Yarrowia lipolytica: one gene and its partners. The protein of the gene in region 2 interacts with the protein of the main gene of each other region in a pairwise test. Links are inferred from orthologs where the notes say so. Each region holds a gene or a part of one and is shown on either strand. Other genes may lie near its edges.

The links.
Region 1: the proteins of YALI1_E34525g (region 2) and YALI1_F04643g interact in a two-hybrid assay, tested with the Schizosaccharomyces pombe proteins (2 studies listed by BioGRID). The link is inferred for Yarrowia lipolytica from reciprocal best matches to the Schizosaccharomyces pombe genes sec18 and rcd1.
Region 3: the proteins of YALI1_E34525g (region 2) and YALI1_B06839g interact in a two-hybrid assay, tested with the Schizosaccharomyces pombe proteins (2 studies listed by BioGRID). The link is inferred for Yarrowia lipolytica from reciprocal best matches to the Schizosaccharomyces pombe genes sec18 and isu1.

What each region holds. Positions count from the first base shown.
Region 1 is NC_090775.1:461,738-466,666, reverse strand, and holds YALI1_F04643g (uncharacterized protein), read right to left. Parts: upstream 2,314-4,929; coding exon 1,357-2,313; downstream 1-1,356. Other genes in the region: YALI1_F04690g (uncharacterized protein), read left to right, coding at 1-651; YALI1_F04655g (uncharacterized protein), read left to right, coding at 1,025-1,030, 1,083-1,289; YALI1_F04626g (uncharacterized protein), read left to right, coding at 4,023-4,929. UniProt on the Schizosaccharomyces pombe protein: A differentiation-controlling factor that is essential for the onset of sexual development. Induces ste11 when sexual development is invoked through nitrogen starvation.
Region 2 is NC_090774.1:3,450,153-3,456,623, reverse strand, and holds YALI1_E34525g (uncharacterized protein), read right to left. Parts: upstream 4,106-6,471; coding exon 1,676-4,105; downstream 1-1,675. Other genes in the region: YALI1_E34513g (uncharacterized protein), read left to right, coding at 5,283-5,666; YALI1_E34494g (uncharacterized protein), read right to left, coding at 5,943-6,471. UniProt on the Schizosaccharomyces pombe protein: Required for vesicle-mediated transport. Catalyzes the fusion of transport vesicles within the Golgi cisternae. Is also required for transport from the endoplasmic reticulum to the Golgi stack.
Region 3 is NC_090771.1:681,041-685,447, reverse strand, and holds YALI1_B06839g (uncharacterized protein), read right to left. Parts: upstream 1,516-4,407; coding exon 970-1,515; downstream 1-969. Other genes in the region: YALI1_B06847g (uncharacterized protein), read right to left, coding at 1-656. UniProt on the Schizosaccharomyces pombe protein: Scaffold protein for the de novo synthesis of iron-sulfur (Fe-S) clusters within mitochondria, which is required for maturation of both mitochondrial and cytoplasmic [2Fe-2S] and [4Fe-4S] proteins.

The DNA of each region.
Region 1 (4,929 bases), on a different chromosome or scaffold from region 2:
AAGTGCGGCGAGCTGTTCCAGACGGTGGCCGAGCGACAGACGCACAAGAACAACCGGCACTATCCAGAGATCCAGACGACCATCTGGGCGTCCAACGTGTTCCGCGAGTTTCCGGCCAATACGATTGTGCATTCCAAGCGTGACCAGAACGGCTACTTTAACTGTCCCAGTGAATACTGCACGTTCATCACGCGGATCCCGTCGTACTGGCATGACCACATTCACAATGTTGCTCACCAGGGCATTGATCCGCAGACGTCGAAACGGAAGCGCAAGCCCAAGATTCTGTCGACACCCCATCCCGGGGCGATTGGTAACGGTGGTGCAGGTGTGGGGCCTGTGAGCGGCGAGGGCGAGCGGCAGGAGCGGGCCCAGCAGGCGGCCCAACGACAGCAGCAGCAGGCGGCCCAGCAACAACAACAACAACAGCAGCAGCAGCAACAGCAGCAGCAGCAGCAGCAGGAGAGTCAGAGCCAGCAGCAGGGTAAGCCCGCGCAGGGTCACACACAGCAGCAGGCTCAGACACACCAGGGCCAGCAGCAGCAGACCCACGCACAACCCCACGCACAGCCCCATACTCAGCATACGGGGGCCCAGCAGATACAGCAGCACCACGTGCATCAACTTCCGCATCAACCTCATTCCTTGTAAACAATGTATTTATGATTGACTAGACTTTCTAGAGCGAGCTGCTATGACAGCGAGGCTCAGACAGTGCCGGTGTATTGTATCCCAGCACTTGGGCCCTCGTTACATCCCTTTGACTCAGAAGTAGCTACTTCTTTCTGTACAATTACATACTTATATAAGCAAGAAAAGCATTATAACATCATTAGTCATACATTCTATTTGACTACGACTAACCCTAGCTACGTGTTGGTTCGACTACTTCGTGTTCAGTGACTTGACGTTCCGGTGATAACGTAGCTGTCACGTAGGAGCTCCTTTTAGAGAGATGGTAGCTCTCTCGCTGAAAGCGCAAGGATGAGTTATTTAGATGGACATATCTGTCTATCATGGAAATATGTCTGTCTGATTTCAATCAGATGCCACGGTTCACGGGCCTTGTCTAGTGTAGATAGATAATATATTTTTACATGCTGTGGCGTTGTACCGTACGTACGGGCCACTCCCAGCTCCCCTTAGGGTCACCACCTGTTCCAGGTGACCTATTATGCGATTTGTTGGTCTTCGATGATGCAGTAAGCTCGCGGTTCATGAACCGGGTTGCTGAGTGGTATTCAACTGCTCTATGGGTCAGCTTTGACACCTGTAGTCGTGGTCACTAGTCGCAGCACGATGTTCGTGGTAGGACTGTGAGTTCCGCTCACAAGTCGCAGCTGCACTGCTCGTTGTTCACTCGTAACTATCACTCAAGTTGATCAACAGCTGCGCGAGACATCTCTTGGTTGCGGCATCGTCTCTCAGAGCCTGGCTGAAGGTAGCATCTCTCAGCGGCTCGGGCAGACTCTGTCTTAGTGCCTCTCTGGCTCTGGCGTTGTCACTCAGTCTGAGATAACATCTGACCACGTGTTTCAACAGTCGGGAGGCCGGTTGTGAAATCAGCTGCTGGACCATGTTGGCGAGCACCTGCGACACCGCGGTGAACCGCTCGAACGTCTGGCACACGTAGTTGAGGCCCATGTCGTCCATGAGGATTTTTTGGACGATGAAAATCGCCACTGTTTTCGACAGCTCGGTGCCACTCTCCATGATTCGAAGGCACAGGGGAATGATTTCGGTGGACAGCAAGAACGAAATGACCTCGGGCGAGTCGTTCTTGACGAGCGCGCCAATCACGCCCAGCGATGTCAGCCGCAGGTACTCAAACGACCGCGACTTGACGGTGGTGTTGAGAAAGGGATACAGAAAGAGCGGAATGTGGGCCACAAGGAAGGGGGTTCGGGTGTCGGCGTGTGAGGCGACGCATTGAAGAAGGGCCAGGGCATTGCATACCCGGTTGCTGGCGGCAGTGGACAGATTGGGAGGCGTCAGCAGGGAGTACACGTTCATAATCTCCTGCAGCAGAGTGCTCATGACTCCAAACGAGTGCCATAGGATGAGGGCGAGATCCTCGTACTGCTCTCGTTTCTTTCCGAGCTCGAGTAGAGCCTGCTCGCGACCCTCGCCGTGCATCAGCTCGACGATCCACGAATATAGCTTGTCGTCTTCTGCCGTCAGCTTCAACGGCATGACGTTGGGGTCGTTGGAGTTGGCCGGTGCCATGCCGCTGGGTGCCATCTGGGGCATATTGGGCGGCGGCTGGTTCATCTGGCCACCCATATATTGCTGCTGGGGAGGTTGCTGGTACATGGCGGACTGTGGTGGAGGTGTGATCTGGACAGTTTTCTGGGTTATGGATTTGATGTGGTGAGTGGTGAGTCGAAGGTTGGTGGAGGGTTTGTGGACGTGGGTTCGACTCCAGATGGGGACGGTGGCCGAATATGTCAATATAGCGTTTTCAGTGATCGAGCTGAGTCGGGGATATATATTTCAACAATTGGTATGTGGACGATAATTTACCAGCTTCCTATCGCGTCATTATTCGAAGTCATCATAGCCTACTAGCATCACGCTATTACTTGGTCGCATTAGTTGAGTATAGTTGACTAACTGAGAGACATGTCATAACCAGTGTCAAGGATGCTACAGGTGCGGGATTTCCGGTACTTGTGTGTTTTTGGAGGGGGTCCTGTGCTCTCCTTGGTCATTTGTGGTCGATTGATCCTGTTTGTATATTCCTGTGTCAATACAGCCGCCGCTGTCATCCTCCATCCTGAGTATATAGACATCCTACTTAGCCGTTCTAAACAATAGTTGTAGCCACCAGGGTGCATACGACCTTATTCAAAAAAGAGAAAAAAAAAATTAGAAAAAAAAGGAAAAAAAAAAAAAGGTCCTGAAATTCGACTCCTGCATGTGATAAGCCCAAAAAGCAATTCAGACGACAAGGGAGGATACTGCCTGATATACACAACCGCAACCAACTCGACATTTACCCCACGATATATCGAACAAGGGTCGAGCAGTGCACCATCTTCCCTATGAGTCCGTTGCTATCTGCAGGTATATACTTGCTACTTTTCTTTAGACTCCCGCGGGCTTAAAAAAAGAAAAAAAAGAAAAAATGAATAAATAAAAGTATAAAATAAAAAACAAAATAAATTAATTACTTGTACGTGAAGGCGGAGTCAGTGTCTACTAGGTGCAGTATTTTTGCCACCTACACGTGACTAGACACGCAAAAATAAGAACATAACCTCTCCCCTCAAATCCACGTCTTCTTTGGACTCAGTCCCCTATTACTGCGACTCGTGCAAATCTGATAACATGCATCTCAACCATTTACCGCACTCGGAGGTTTAATTGATCAGTTTGAATGGGCTGGACATACAACGAGTCGTGGAGTCGAACGAGGAGGCGGAGAAAGACGACAACAAAACCACAGACACAGGGAAATCTCCAGGACCACCATGATATACTCAAAATCCCCGTAGCCCCCCCACACCATCGGCAAATCAACAATCAAGTTTTCCTCCGCATCTGGAAGTCACAACTGTATTTTTCAGTGAGATTTTTCTTGGGTCGAGTTGGTGGCTTATGGAGACATCTGGCAGGGCTCGAATTACAATGAGATAGAAGCCAAAATCGCCAATATATAGGCCTACAAGTTGTTCCTCCATATCTACAGACCCCAATTCACCATTTATCAACATGTAATAACACCCACGCGACTCCCCTGTCAAGGTTCAGAGTACCAAGCAAATGTTTTTGGACGTCTGTAAATCGGCAAGTAGTGGATGGAATGAAATGGTGGAAAATGGAAACCGGAGAAGAAACATACAGCTTTAAATCAACTTTTCCTTATCGGGGTCATCTTCTCAAGAAGTCCTTGTTGATTGTACCCTACCAGACTCATTTCCGACCCGTGAACTCTATCACGAAACACTATAACGCGCTACAGTAATACCTTACCGAGTAGCTACTGTAAACCACTTGAACACCTGGACCGGCTACCACAAATGTCTTCTCTACAGCCGTTTTCGGTGGACAACACCTGGAGTCACGTGGTTTCAAAGCGCACGGGCGACAAGCGCGAGTACGGCGGCGACAACTTGTCATCTGAGTCGTCAAATTTCCTGCCAACCGATCAGACAGACAAACAACCCTCGAGTCCAGGAGGCAGTCTATGGTCCGACAGAGAGGGCTGGAGCTCGCAGTTCGACCTGCCGTCGAGTCCGGTCCGAAAAAAGCGGTTTCTGGGCGGCATTCAGTTCACTGAAAGAAGCAAGAACAAGGAGGAGGAAGGCGGAGACGAGGAGGGCGAAGGGGAGTCAGAAAGCCATATCGTGAGTCTCCAGAGCAATGGAACGGTCACGGAAGATAAACCAGAGGCCACCGTGGCCAAGCTGGAGAGACAGAGTGCGGCCGAAAGCTCTTCTACTCCCGTTCGAACAGCTTCACGTCCGTCTCTACTTGCTCCCACGACTCCTTACAGAAACTACACCCGGAGCCTTAACTCGTTCAACTCGTTCAACTCGTACAACTCTCTTGGTTCGTTTGGCGAAACCGGGGCAGGAATAGCTGCTGAAGTTGCCAGTCCTGAAAAACGTCATAAACCCGCGCCTGTGGACACCACTCTTCCTCCTGCTCAGTACCTTCTTCAGTGTGCTGACAAGGAGGCCGAAAACATTGATCTCATGTTTCGCAACCTTGACAAACTCCCCAAGGAGTTTAGCGAGCTCAAAAATGTGGTTAAGACCAACAACAGCCCCTGTACGGCATCTCTGGCCATGTCCTACAAGGTCATGTTGTCTCAGAACAGACTGACAGATTTGCCACCTCAATTGTTTGACGGGATTAATATTGTGAATCTGTCCGTCTTCAACAACTGCCTGGAGTCGGTTCCGCCTCGAATCAGAGACCTCA
Region 2 (6,471 bases):
GTCTGGTTTAGTCTGAGGCCAAGCTAGCATCTGTATTTATCTGACAGCCTTAGACGAACGGCATTTCGGTTATATCCGTGGAAGCCCAACGTTTTAGACAGGTGAACATTCAGATCGGAACCTTCTACGATTCGTGGGAGACAGGTAGTAGATGAGGGAAGATGATCCTATTCAATATCTCGTGCAGAGAACCTTTAACAGACGTCCAAATTCGTATCCCCTCCACCTGCTAGTGGGCTATGTCAATGTCACACCCTCCCCCTTGGGCTCACGTCTCATCACGTCTGCCAAAATTATAGCCGTGGGCTCAGCAGATGTCAACAAAGCCGTCGTAGGCAACATTGACGTCTGATTTAGCTGGTAATATTTGACCTCGAGCTGTATTTGGACAGAGCTGTAAGAAGGAGGGGCCTAGAAAGAATGCAGTGTTTTCTGGAGATCCCAGATCCTTGTCTGTGGCACTCAGTCCGTAGAACAACTGTCATAGTGGACTCTGACAGCTCAGGATCAAACTTGACATTCTGACATGGGCAGACACATTGGGCCTTCTAACCAACGCATGTTACGCATAAAATGGTTGACGTATAAAACACGTTCACGATTGCAGAAAACCACACAGTATCTATAATTACATGTACTATCCTAGAACGCCCTCCCATAGCTTTTTGCTTTTCACACCCTACCACCCCCTCGCTGAAACCTACCCAACCCGATCGAGGTACAGGAGGTCGGTGAACAATCAGTCCGGCGACTGTTAGACTCGGTGATTGAAGTCCACGCTAAAGCATGCAACAACTACAAGCTAAGAGCTACTACCCCAATCCAATACCACGCTCAATGTAACTGCAAAAATCTCCGAAAATTCCGAACTCATGTTCCCCTGCAACCAACTCCTACCACCTTTAATTTTATTTACGAGGTGGTATTTTGGGGGGTTCCAGTGATGACGATCTCGCTACACCGGCTAGGGCAGCTCCTTCCATTTTTGTTTCCCTAGAGATGATCTAAACCAAAAGAATGTGGGTTATATTATGTCACTGCTAGTCTCTTCACATACAAAGAAGACGAGCAACTGTCACTGAGTCAATGGCATGTGAAGTACAATACAAGACTGGGACCAACATGACGTCAGATGGCCAAATACCATTGCCCAGTACGAGTAAGTATCTACTTGTAGTGAAGACATGCACAAGGTACGCTACGGTTGTATACTGTACTATACTGTGTTGTACGGCGATAAGACCACCACTTCGCTCAAAGTGCTTTAAGTGCAGTTATATCCGCTTGAATAGTGCCAGTCTAAAGGATGTGTACTGTACCTACCGTAGTAGCCCTGTCACTGCACTTGTTTCCCAGAAGACCCTACGGAGTGCTACTTGTAGTCGCTAATTTGGTTTCTGCCCTCAACGATAATTATTATTTCGCCTAACAGCTGTTTTGGGATACCTGTTAGCTCGTGTGTGGGCTGAAAATGCTACGGTGGTTAACTATGGCATGCGTGTGAATGCAACTCGTCCTACATGTTCACTCGCGTCCTGTTGCACTACACTGCCCAGGTTGCTACCAGTTGTTTTGTGTCCATCACTGGTTCATGATAGTTTGTTTTGCGCATCCGTTCCGCTCTGCCATTGTCCCATCATTTCAATCTCATGTATTCTATTCTAATCGTGATTCGTTAAACATACTTGTTTCGTCGGGCGTTTATATGGTCAACCATAAAATCGACAAACTCCTCCTCAACATCTGAAGAGTACTGGGCAGTCTTGAGACCAGACAGCAGAGTCTTGATACCAATGGAAGGCACGGTAGATCCAGTCTTGGCCTCGATGGACTGTACAACCCGGTGTCGAGCCTCGGGAGAGTCCAAGAACTGCATAGCGTCCAGTACCTTGTTGAGCTCCTTGAGAGACTGTAGGTAAGGTACGCCAATCTCGGAGTCAAACGCGGAAATCAGATCCATCTGCTCAAGAACGTGTCGCTCATGAGTAGTAACCAGAATTAGCAATCGGCAGCCCTTGGGAGGAGTCTTTCGACACAGAGTCTTGACGGCCTGCAGCAGAGAGTTTGAGAACCGGGGTCCAATCTGGACCCACTCGAGAATGATCTCAATAGAGTCAATCACAATGACGGACAGAGGAGACTTGTAAGCATCCAGGAAACAGTTCTGAATGGCAGTGATCTTAGATGCCTCGGACATACCAACATAGCCTTCGGGAGAGATGAGTCGCACGAAGGGGAAGTTCGACTGCATGGCAATGGAAGCTGCGAGAGCAGTCTTACCAGAGCCAGCAGGGCCGTGAAGCAGCAGAGAAGCCAGAGCACGGTCGCCAGAAGACTGTCGAACTCGCTCAATAAATAGCTCTCCCTTCTTGAGAATGTCATCAATGTTGGGAGAGTACTTGATGATACCACCAGAGACGGCAGCATCGAGATCCTCTTCGGAGACACCAAACGCGGGACGCACTTCCTGGAGGGCATGCACAAAGTCGTCCCGCATTAGCATGAGCTCTCCGCCCTTCTCCTGTCGCACGCCTCCTCCACCTTGGTCCAACTTGAGGTTTCGAGTGAATGCATAAGAAGCAGCAGAGTTAAGCAGACCCTTAATTTCGGCACCAGAGTAGTTCTTAGTCTCTCCAGCAAGCTCGTTAAGATCCACATCTCTGCCCAACTTTCCTGCAGCAGTCATAGGCGCGGTGTGAATCTTGAGAATTTGCAGACGGCCAGCCTCATCAGGAAGGGGAATCTCAATCTGGACCTCGAATCGACCAGGTCGCATCAGAGCAGAATCAATCAGATCCTTTCGGTTGGTCATACCGATAACCAGAATGTTATTGAGCTGCTCCACACCGTCCATCTTAGCGAGCAGCTGGTTGACGACGTTGTCTCCAACACCGGTACCTCCACCGGTGGAGCCTCGCTGTTTGAAGACAGCATCCAACTCATCGAAAATGATGATGTGAAGACCGGAGTCATCGCCCTTCTCTCGGTACTCCGCCTCGGCGTCCTTGAACAAGTTTCGAATGTTCTCTTCGGAAGCACCAACGTACTTGTTTAGGATTTCGGGACCGTTGACAATCTTGGGTTCTCGAGCGTTGAGCATCTTACCAATTTGTCGGGCGATTAGAGTCTTACCTGTACCGGGAGGTCCGAACAACAAGATACCCTTCACGTGGTTGATACCAAGGGCCTCGACATCGGCAGGAGAGTAGATTCGAGAAGCGAAGGCTCGTCGGAAGATGTTACCAAACTGGGCATCAAGACCACCAATACCGAGATCCTGGAATTTGAAGTCGGGCTGAATGATAGCGTTCTGTCGGGGTTTGTTCTTGGCGCTCTTGAGGTTCATGGCCGATCCCTTGGCCTTGTTGAAACCGATATCGGTGTGTCGAACGAGAATACCTCGGACGTTTCGGGCAGCCACTCCGCCAGCGTCTCCCAGATTGACCACCGAGGTAGAGAGCACTCTGATCTGGAAATTGAGGCCCTCGAAGTCCATAGCCAGGGTCTGTCCAGGGGTGAAGATCTGGTTAGCGTACTGGTGCAGGAAGTGGTGAGCGAGCTTTTCGGGCTCAAAGGATCGGGATCCAGCTCCGCTGGCCGCACTGGCAGACAGGAAGTCGATTTCCAGCTCCAGGTTGCCCAGATACACCTGCTGTGTCTTGTGGAAGGGGTCGTAAGGTGCCACATGGACAGTCATGTTTGTGCTGAGAGCTGCCCATCGTCGCTGCACTGCTCCGGCAAGGATCTGGCCGGGAGCAGCATGTGGCGACTGTCGCACGGTGAAGACGTGCTGGTTGTTGATAATGACGTAGTCTCCGTCAGCAAAGGTTCCAGGGGGCACTTCGAGGAGGTTGGCCAGGGCAAACGCCTTGTCCTTGCCCACTCCCAGAATCATATCGCCACCGTGACCGGAAGGAGGTTGTCTGTGCTGCTGAGGAGGAGGGGTCTGGTGATGAGGAGGCATGGGCTGTCCCTGAGTAGGTGCCCGTCTAGGAAGACCAGGGTTGTTCATTGTTCGGGGGGAATTGGATCCGGAGTGAGTAGGAGAGTGTTGTTCAGGAACCCGGTATGGATTCTGATTGTCCTTTTTGCCAAAACCGAACATGAGGGGAATTGGGTTGCGACAAGAGAGTGTGAGATGTACGTGGTCGTATCACGTGGATGCAGGACGATGCGGTCTTAGTGATGTTGGGAGAGTGAAGAATGGGAGTTGGGACAAGACAAATAGTGCAAGTCTAGCGTTATAAGTAACAGCAGATCAGAGAACGTCTAAGAACAATTGGATTTGCATTAATGCCTGGCTTCGACTAAGTGGATTACAGTATTGCTCGCCGGAGCCGTGGCTATAGGTACTGTATGTGGCTTTTACTTATTTATTGCAACACAGGAGAGTCACACCGTGGGCCCCGAGTACGAAAGTTGGTTACCACCTTACCAGTCTAACTACTTGTAGCTGTTATAAGTACTATAACAAGTATGGCGTCCCAGTTCGAGTTTCACGAACGCCGGATTAATAACAAAACACCATAAGATAGACAGGCGCTCCGACACCACCAGCCAATATGGAAAGAGCTGAGTGATTATTTACAGAGTGGTGGGCTACTTTGGAGGCAACCTCCAACTCTGATGCACTTTCAGCCGTTTACATACTTGTATAGAAGAAGCGCAGTTCCCATAACTACAGCCTCTCGACCAGAGTCTGCTGACATTGTTTGACCAAAACTAAAAACACATTGAATTACAATTCAAGGCTTCCACACATAGTCGAATAACTGTATACTGTAGGAAATATGGTGTTTGAGATGGAGGAGAAAGATCTTTTCAACGTGCTCAATCTGCCCTCCGATATTCTTAGATCAACCCCTTTAAATATCCTCATTTCCTGCTACTTGTAGCGACGTCATGGGTTCGCTTAACGGCCGCTACTTCTGAGTCTCCAGCCTCTCTATCTCCATAATAACGTAACGCCATTCCATTAACGCGGAACCTTACTCAGAGGTGCTAAAGGGTCTATATATACTGCAATATGGGGATATTGATAGTCGATTGGGATTACTAACATTGCTCTACAGTACACTTTTATTCAACTTTTCCGTATTCAATTCCGACTACTCTCGTCATCATTCTAACCGAAAACAGGAAACACATCGTTCTGGTCCAAACCCTCCAACCCACAGTACTGCTCGTACTTTAATCAACAAATATCTCCCAAGGAGCCTGAACTTAGACATCTGTATGCGCCAACTATTCACGTAACGTGATATCAGCTGAGGTCCCGAACCATGGCCAAACGACCTCGATCTGCATCGCACCACGTGCCTGTGGCCTACCATCCCGGGTCTCTGGTGTCTCTCAACCGCACACAACGAAAACTCACCGAATACAGCGAAATCGCATCTTGGGGATGGATCCTACTCATCACAACATGGTCTCTGATCTTCTTCGCAGTCTTCACGATGTTTGATCTAGATATCTACTTGTTTGGATCGAAGACAGACCGCAAAAATATGCACAAGGCTCCTGATGATGACGACGACTTCCCCATCAGAATGTACTATCCAACGTCCTTCTTCCTGTCCCTCGTCATGGCTTGGGTCTGGTGTATCGTCAGTTGGATGGGTCTCAAATTCTTCAAACACGCCAAAGTTGATCCTACCAGCAGGTGAACGAGGTTATTTCAAGCTGCAATTACCACCTTCTACACACATCTACACACTTCACCGACTACACCTTGCACCGACTACACATTTCATACTAACACTGTACAGCACATAGACTAATATCATTTATAGAGCATGTCTGCATTGTTTATATAGGTGCTGGGTAGTTGTTTAAACAGTGCTCCGAGTCACATTCTCATTTAATGTAATGGTATATCATTCATCCATGGTACGTACTATCTGTTGCAAGGCATCAATACATACATCTTCAATCCCAGTCTCCTAAAGCATAGCACCTCGTCGGCGAGCAGCTCGAGGGACCTTCTTGCCGTTGGGAATCTTCTTCTTTTGCGCCTGTTCTCGCTGCGCCTTCTCCTCCTTCTCTCGCTGCTCTCGCATCTCGTTGGCGTCAGGATAGTCCACGATCCAGTCTCCAACTCGCAGCTGGTTGGCGACGAAACTACTCGTCAATAGACCCCACTCGGAAATGTCAGGAAAGTGAAGATTCTTGGCGTTGTCGTCAATCTTGTGCCAGACAGGGGGGAAATGGCTGGGGATCAAATGCAGAACAGGCACTCCTCGGTGCAGAAAGGGGAGGTGGTCATCACCAATAACAGCTCCTCGAAAGAATGCGGGCTTTCCCTCGGTGAAGATGGTCTCCTTCTCATCCATACGTGCACTTAGACCGATATCCCGGATTCGCTGCTCCAGAGAAGCAAACACCTCGTACTGCCAGTGAGTGTTTCTGAAGAATGAAGGGATGTATGTATCCTTGTGTCCGATCAGATCCAGAAGCACCAGGTACTCCATC
Region 3 (4,407 bases), on a different chromosome or scaffold from region 2:
TCCTCCAACTGTCCGACGGTAATGGGCTTCTCCTTCTTCTTTCGGCCAAACAGACCTCGCTTCTTCTTCTCCTTGGTCACGGGAGGAGGGTCTCGGATGTAGTTGAATTCTGCGCTCTCGCCGTTGCCAGCAAAAGAAATGACGTTTCCACCCTCGGGGCCATTGCTTGAGCCTTCCTGGGGGGCGTAGGGGTTTGTGTCAAATTGGGGCACGGTGAAGCCCTGTCGGGGCACAAAGCCCAGAGATCCCGTCTCCATCTCCTCTCGCACTCTTTCGTCTCCGGTCGTCAGGTACTCAAACGTTCGGATTGTGTCAAGAGGTCGCTCGTTTCGAGGACGGGTAGGGTTGGACCGGTCGGGGTCACTGATGGGAGCTCCAAAAGTATCTCGGAGCTGCATGTCTGGCGACAGACTCTGGTGGACGCCTTGATGGTTGTACGACTGCTCGAACGGCTGGGCGTCGTGAATCGCAGACAGAATGGGGTCACTGACATCCTGCGCTTTGCTCTGACGTCTGTTGTTGGGCGAGGGAGGAGCATTGGGGTCCTGGTTCTGCTCCTGCTCGGCATCTTCTCCTCGGTCGTACTTGTAGTAGGGAGCGGGCGCGGACGAGTTGGCCTCGGCCTTGGATGCTCGTCGGAACGGAAGAGAAACCATGGTCGTGTTTGTGGTTAGTGTGAGTAACGTGTGGTGGTGGTGTTAAGTTGTGTTTTGGGGGTGGTGAAGCAATACTATTTAGTGGGTGCAATGGTAGAGCTAAAATAAGCTTCTAGCTTTCCTGGAATGTGGGTTTGGGTTCTCACATGCTCATCACATATAAATAAATACTATTGCTATATCTCCATCATTCATACTCGTCATAATTCAAATGCTTTCCGCGCATTGTTTGCCACCAATATTTTTTTGGCTTTTCGAGATTCTCAAGCCCATCCTCCGTTATTCATCATTTCGTACCGGTCCCGCACTACACTTAGGCAGTGGCAGTGGCGGCAGCAGGAGTCTCTGCAGCCTCGGCACCAAGAGTGGGGTTCTTGGTCTTTCGCTTGCTGTTGTAATCGCTGATGGCAGACTTGATGGCGTCCTCAGCCAGCATGGAGCAATGCAGTTTGACGGGGGGAAGAGACAGCTCCTTGGCAATGACGGTGTTCTTGATCTTGCCAGCCTCAGCCAGAGACTTGCCTCGAACAAGCTCAGTCACGTAGGAAGAGGAGGCAATGGCACTGCCACAGCCAAAGGTCTTGAACTTGACGTCCTGGATGACTCCGTTGTCGTCCACTCGAATCTGCAGCTTCATGACATCGCCACAGGCGGGGGCTCCAACCAGACCAGTTCCGACGTCCTCGTCATTCTTGTTCATGGATCCCACGTTTCGGGGGTTGTTGTAGTGGTCCAGCACCTTCTCGTGGTAGCCTCGTCGAGAGATGGCAAGAGGGGTCATGGGAGACATGACGGCGGTGGTGGTGGGTCGGGCTCGAGCGAGCAGACCGGCAGATCGGGTAATTCTGTTGAACATCATTTTCGCTTGTGTGTGTTTGTGCGTGAGTTTTTAGTGTGGGCTCGTCTTAAATGTCGGGTTCCACTGAGATTTTCGTCTGGCGTTCTAGGAGGAAGTGCTTGAGACTATATACCTATCTGATTGGGCGCATCACATGAATTGGGACCCAAATCCAAATCTGATAAGCGCATAAGCTCCGGCCGGGTAACCCCCTCAAACAAAGAACCACATAAACCTTATTCAGTCTGGTTTTGCGACTTCGGACTCATATTTAGAGTTTAAGTCGGAACGGCAAGCGAGAAATCTCCCTCCCCAAAGTTGGGCTCCATCCAAACCCCCCTATGAGACGGTCGATTGGCGCTGCCCAAAGTGCCACAGAGCAACAACCGCTCTCAATCTGCCTCCATTCCGCTTCCCAAACCCTCTCCCCCCCACCACCCTGCAATGTCCCCAAACATGCACCTGCAGCATGCACCACATAATTGCACAGCGAGACGAGGGATGCGTCCGCTCAGATTCCGGAAAGCCGAAATACGGTAAAAGCGATGGTTTTGCGGCTCAAAAAACACACAGGTCGCCCCTCCAAACTCGGAACTGCCGAAGTAACGCCTCGTCACACGTCCCATTAGCCCCTATGTCGCGTATTCCATCCCTGAACCAGCTCCCGAAAATCCAAACTTTGTCGGCTCCAAAAAAAAACGAAACGTCAATTTGCAGCAGACAAGTCCGAAGGCCATGGAAACCATTACAAATCACCCAAAACAACAAAAATCATTACTGCACGTGACCAGTTTTATGACGGAATCGGACCCTCCTCACCGCAGGCTAGCCATTGGTATCCAAAAATACACCGATGGACGCTAAACATCCCGCACAAAATGCTCACTGGTCAAAAGCCTGTTTCGTCGAAAATGTCAAAAAATGCCTATTAGCCCTTCGCCCCCAAAAGTGGAAATGCAAGGCAACCAAAAATGTCAAAAATAATCCAGGAAACATGTACACCATGCCAGATTGCAAGGAGTCTTGGGGGAGAATGACCGGGGATGGGGGGGCATCACGTGACTTCCGGGGTGCAAACTCCAACTATTGACCGCAATTACCCGCTCTACGGACACTTATGGACTTGTCACGCTCGTGTTTCATTGGCCAATAGAAGGCTAGTATTTCTAAGAACAGCGATAAAGCCAGGTCTGTTTCAGTTGGGAGTTTGGAACACTGCATCTGCAGAGCCGATAAAAGCGTTTTACAAATTTGCCACCTGAAAATCCAGGGAAATGGGTCAAAATCGCGCGGAAAAAGGAGACAGGGGGTATTTGGGGGCCATTCAGAACCGATTTTCTCCTTGAAAACCCACAATTGGCTTCTTTAACACCTCCTTAGGTGCACTTTTCCGTGCACTTCCACAACCTTATTTGAGACTGTGAACTCAGTGCTCAGATAACCTAAAAGCTTCGTATATTATTAATATGTGTGGGGTTGCTCGGTAGGGTAAACATTGGCCAGTCAGATCGGGCCCTCACCCGCAACTACAAGTACAACTGTTTTTTTTGCAGTCACATGACCAGAATTGCTTTGCTATGTCTCAAGTACGAGTACTGAACTCGAACTTGCTCTCAACATAAGCTTCTGACTAAGGGTGGGGGGGTGTCCGAACCCTAACCGCGGTTTGTTGACCTATCTTCGGTTGCTAATTAATTTTGTGAGCAATATGGATCCCTCAGAAGCTGTATTGAACTCAGAATCTCATCGAAATCAAGGCTTGTATGAAAGTATATCTCGAGAGAGAGGGAAGAAGTGCGTGTTTCAAACTCTGCTACAATCACTGGTTGGATGTCTCTGTATGCTGGACCATGGTTTTGTCACAGGTAACGCACCAACTGAACGGGCAGATCACAAGACGTCTGTTGAGGTGTCTCGGAGAACATTGTGTGCGGTTTGACTATTGCGGAAGGAAAGCAGCAGTAGTACTACGAGTTCGAGGACTAGTTGTACAAGCCTATCCTGTATCGATAGGCGAGCAATGGTACGTGGGACACTTCACACGATACCCCTCTCGGAGTCAGCCAGTCACTCAATTTACGATACAAGTAGACGATCTAAGATCAGGTGTTCAGATGTAGCGCTACCTTGGAATCGTGCACCAAGTTCCAGTTGGGGTCTGATCGAAGTCATAATGTCAATCTACAAACTCCACAGGACAGCGAACTACTGTATGTACTCTATGTACTGTACTCTGTACTTGTACTTGTACATGACTGAGAACTCCAAATAGTCCGAGTAAGAGTACCATGACACGACTTCAAAGCACGAGCTACAAGAAGACAAGATGTTGTCATACTCGTCAAAACTTGATCGAAGAACAAAAATACCCGCAATAATGATGGTCTCATTTGGTATGACGAACTTTGACCTGCTCTCCGTCCCTCACATGAATCCATTTAACACCATACCCCACACGGATGCGAGGTTTATTCTGCTTTTGAGATGAGGTGAGAGTTGGTCCGAAAATCCAACGTCCGCCGCGAAAATCCAACATCTGCGGATCCAGTCCAACCGCACTGCGTCACGTGACCGCCATTCTCCCGTTCCTCTCCAGCCGCTCTGCACGGAGCTTGTACATTGCCCGACTTTCCGATCCCTTCAGCTTCTGCCTCGGCTAACTTAGAGTTCGAACCACCTCAACGGCTGGGCCGAATTGTGGACGTTTTCAACTCGGGCACCAGAAAGTGGAGAGCAGTGAGAATTTGACACAGTTTTCTTGCGACAGTCTCAATTATATTTTATTTATTTCTTTTTAATACCGCTCTATATAAGCACGCAAGACATCCAGCGCAACAACCCCACATCCTCCCCCCGCAAAAGTCTATTTTCAACGGCTACTCGTAATGCATCTAATCTAGCTGAAAACCCTCA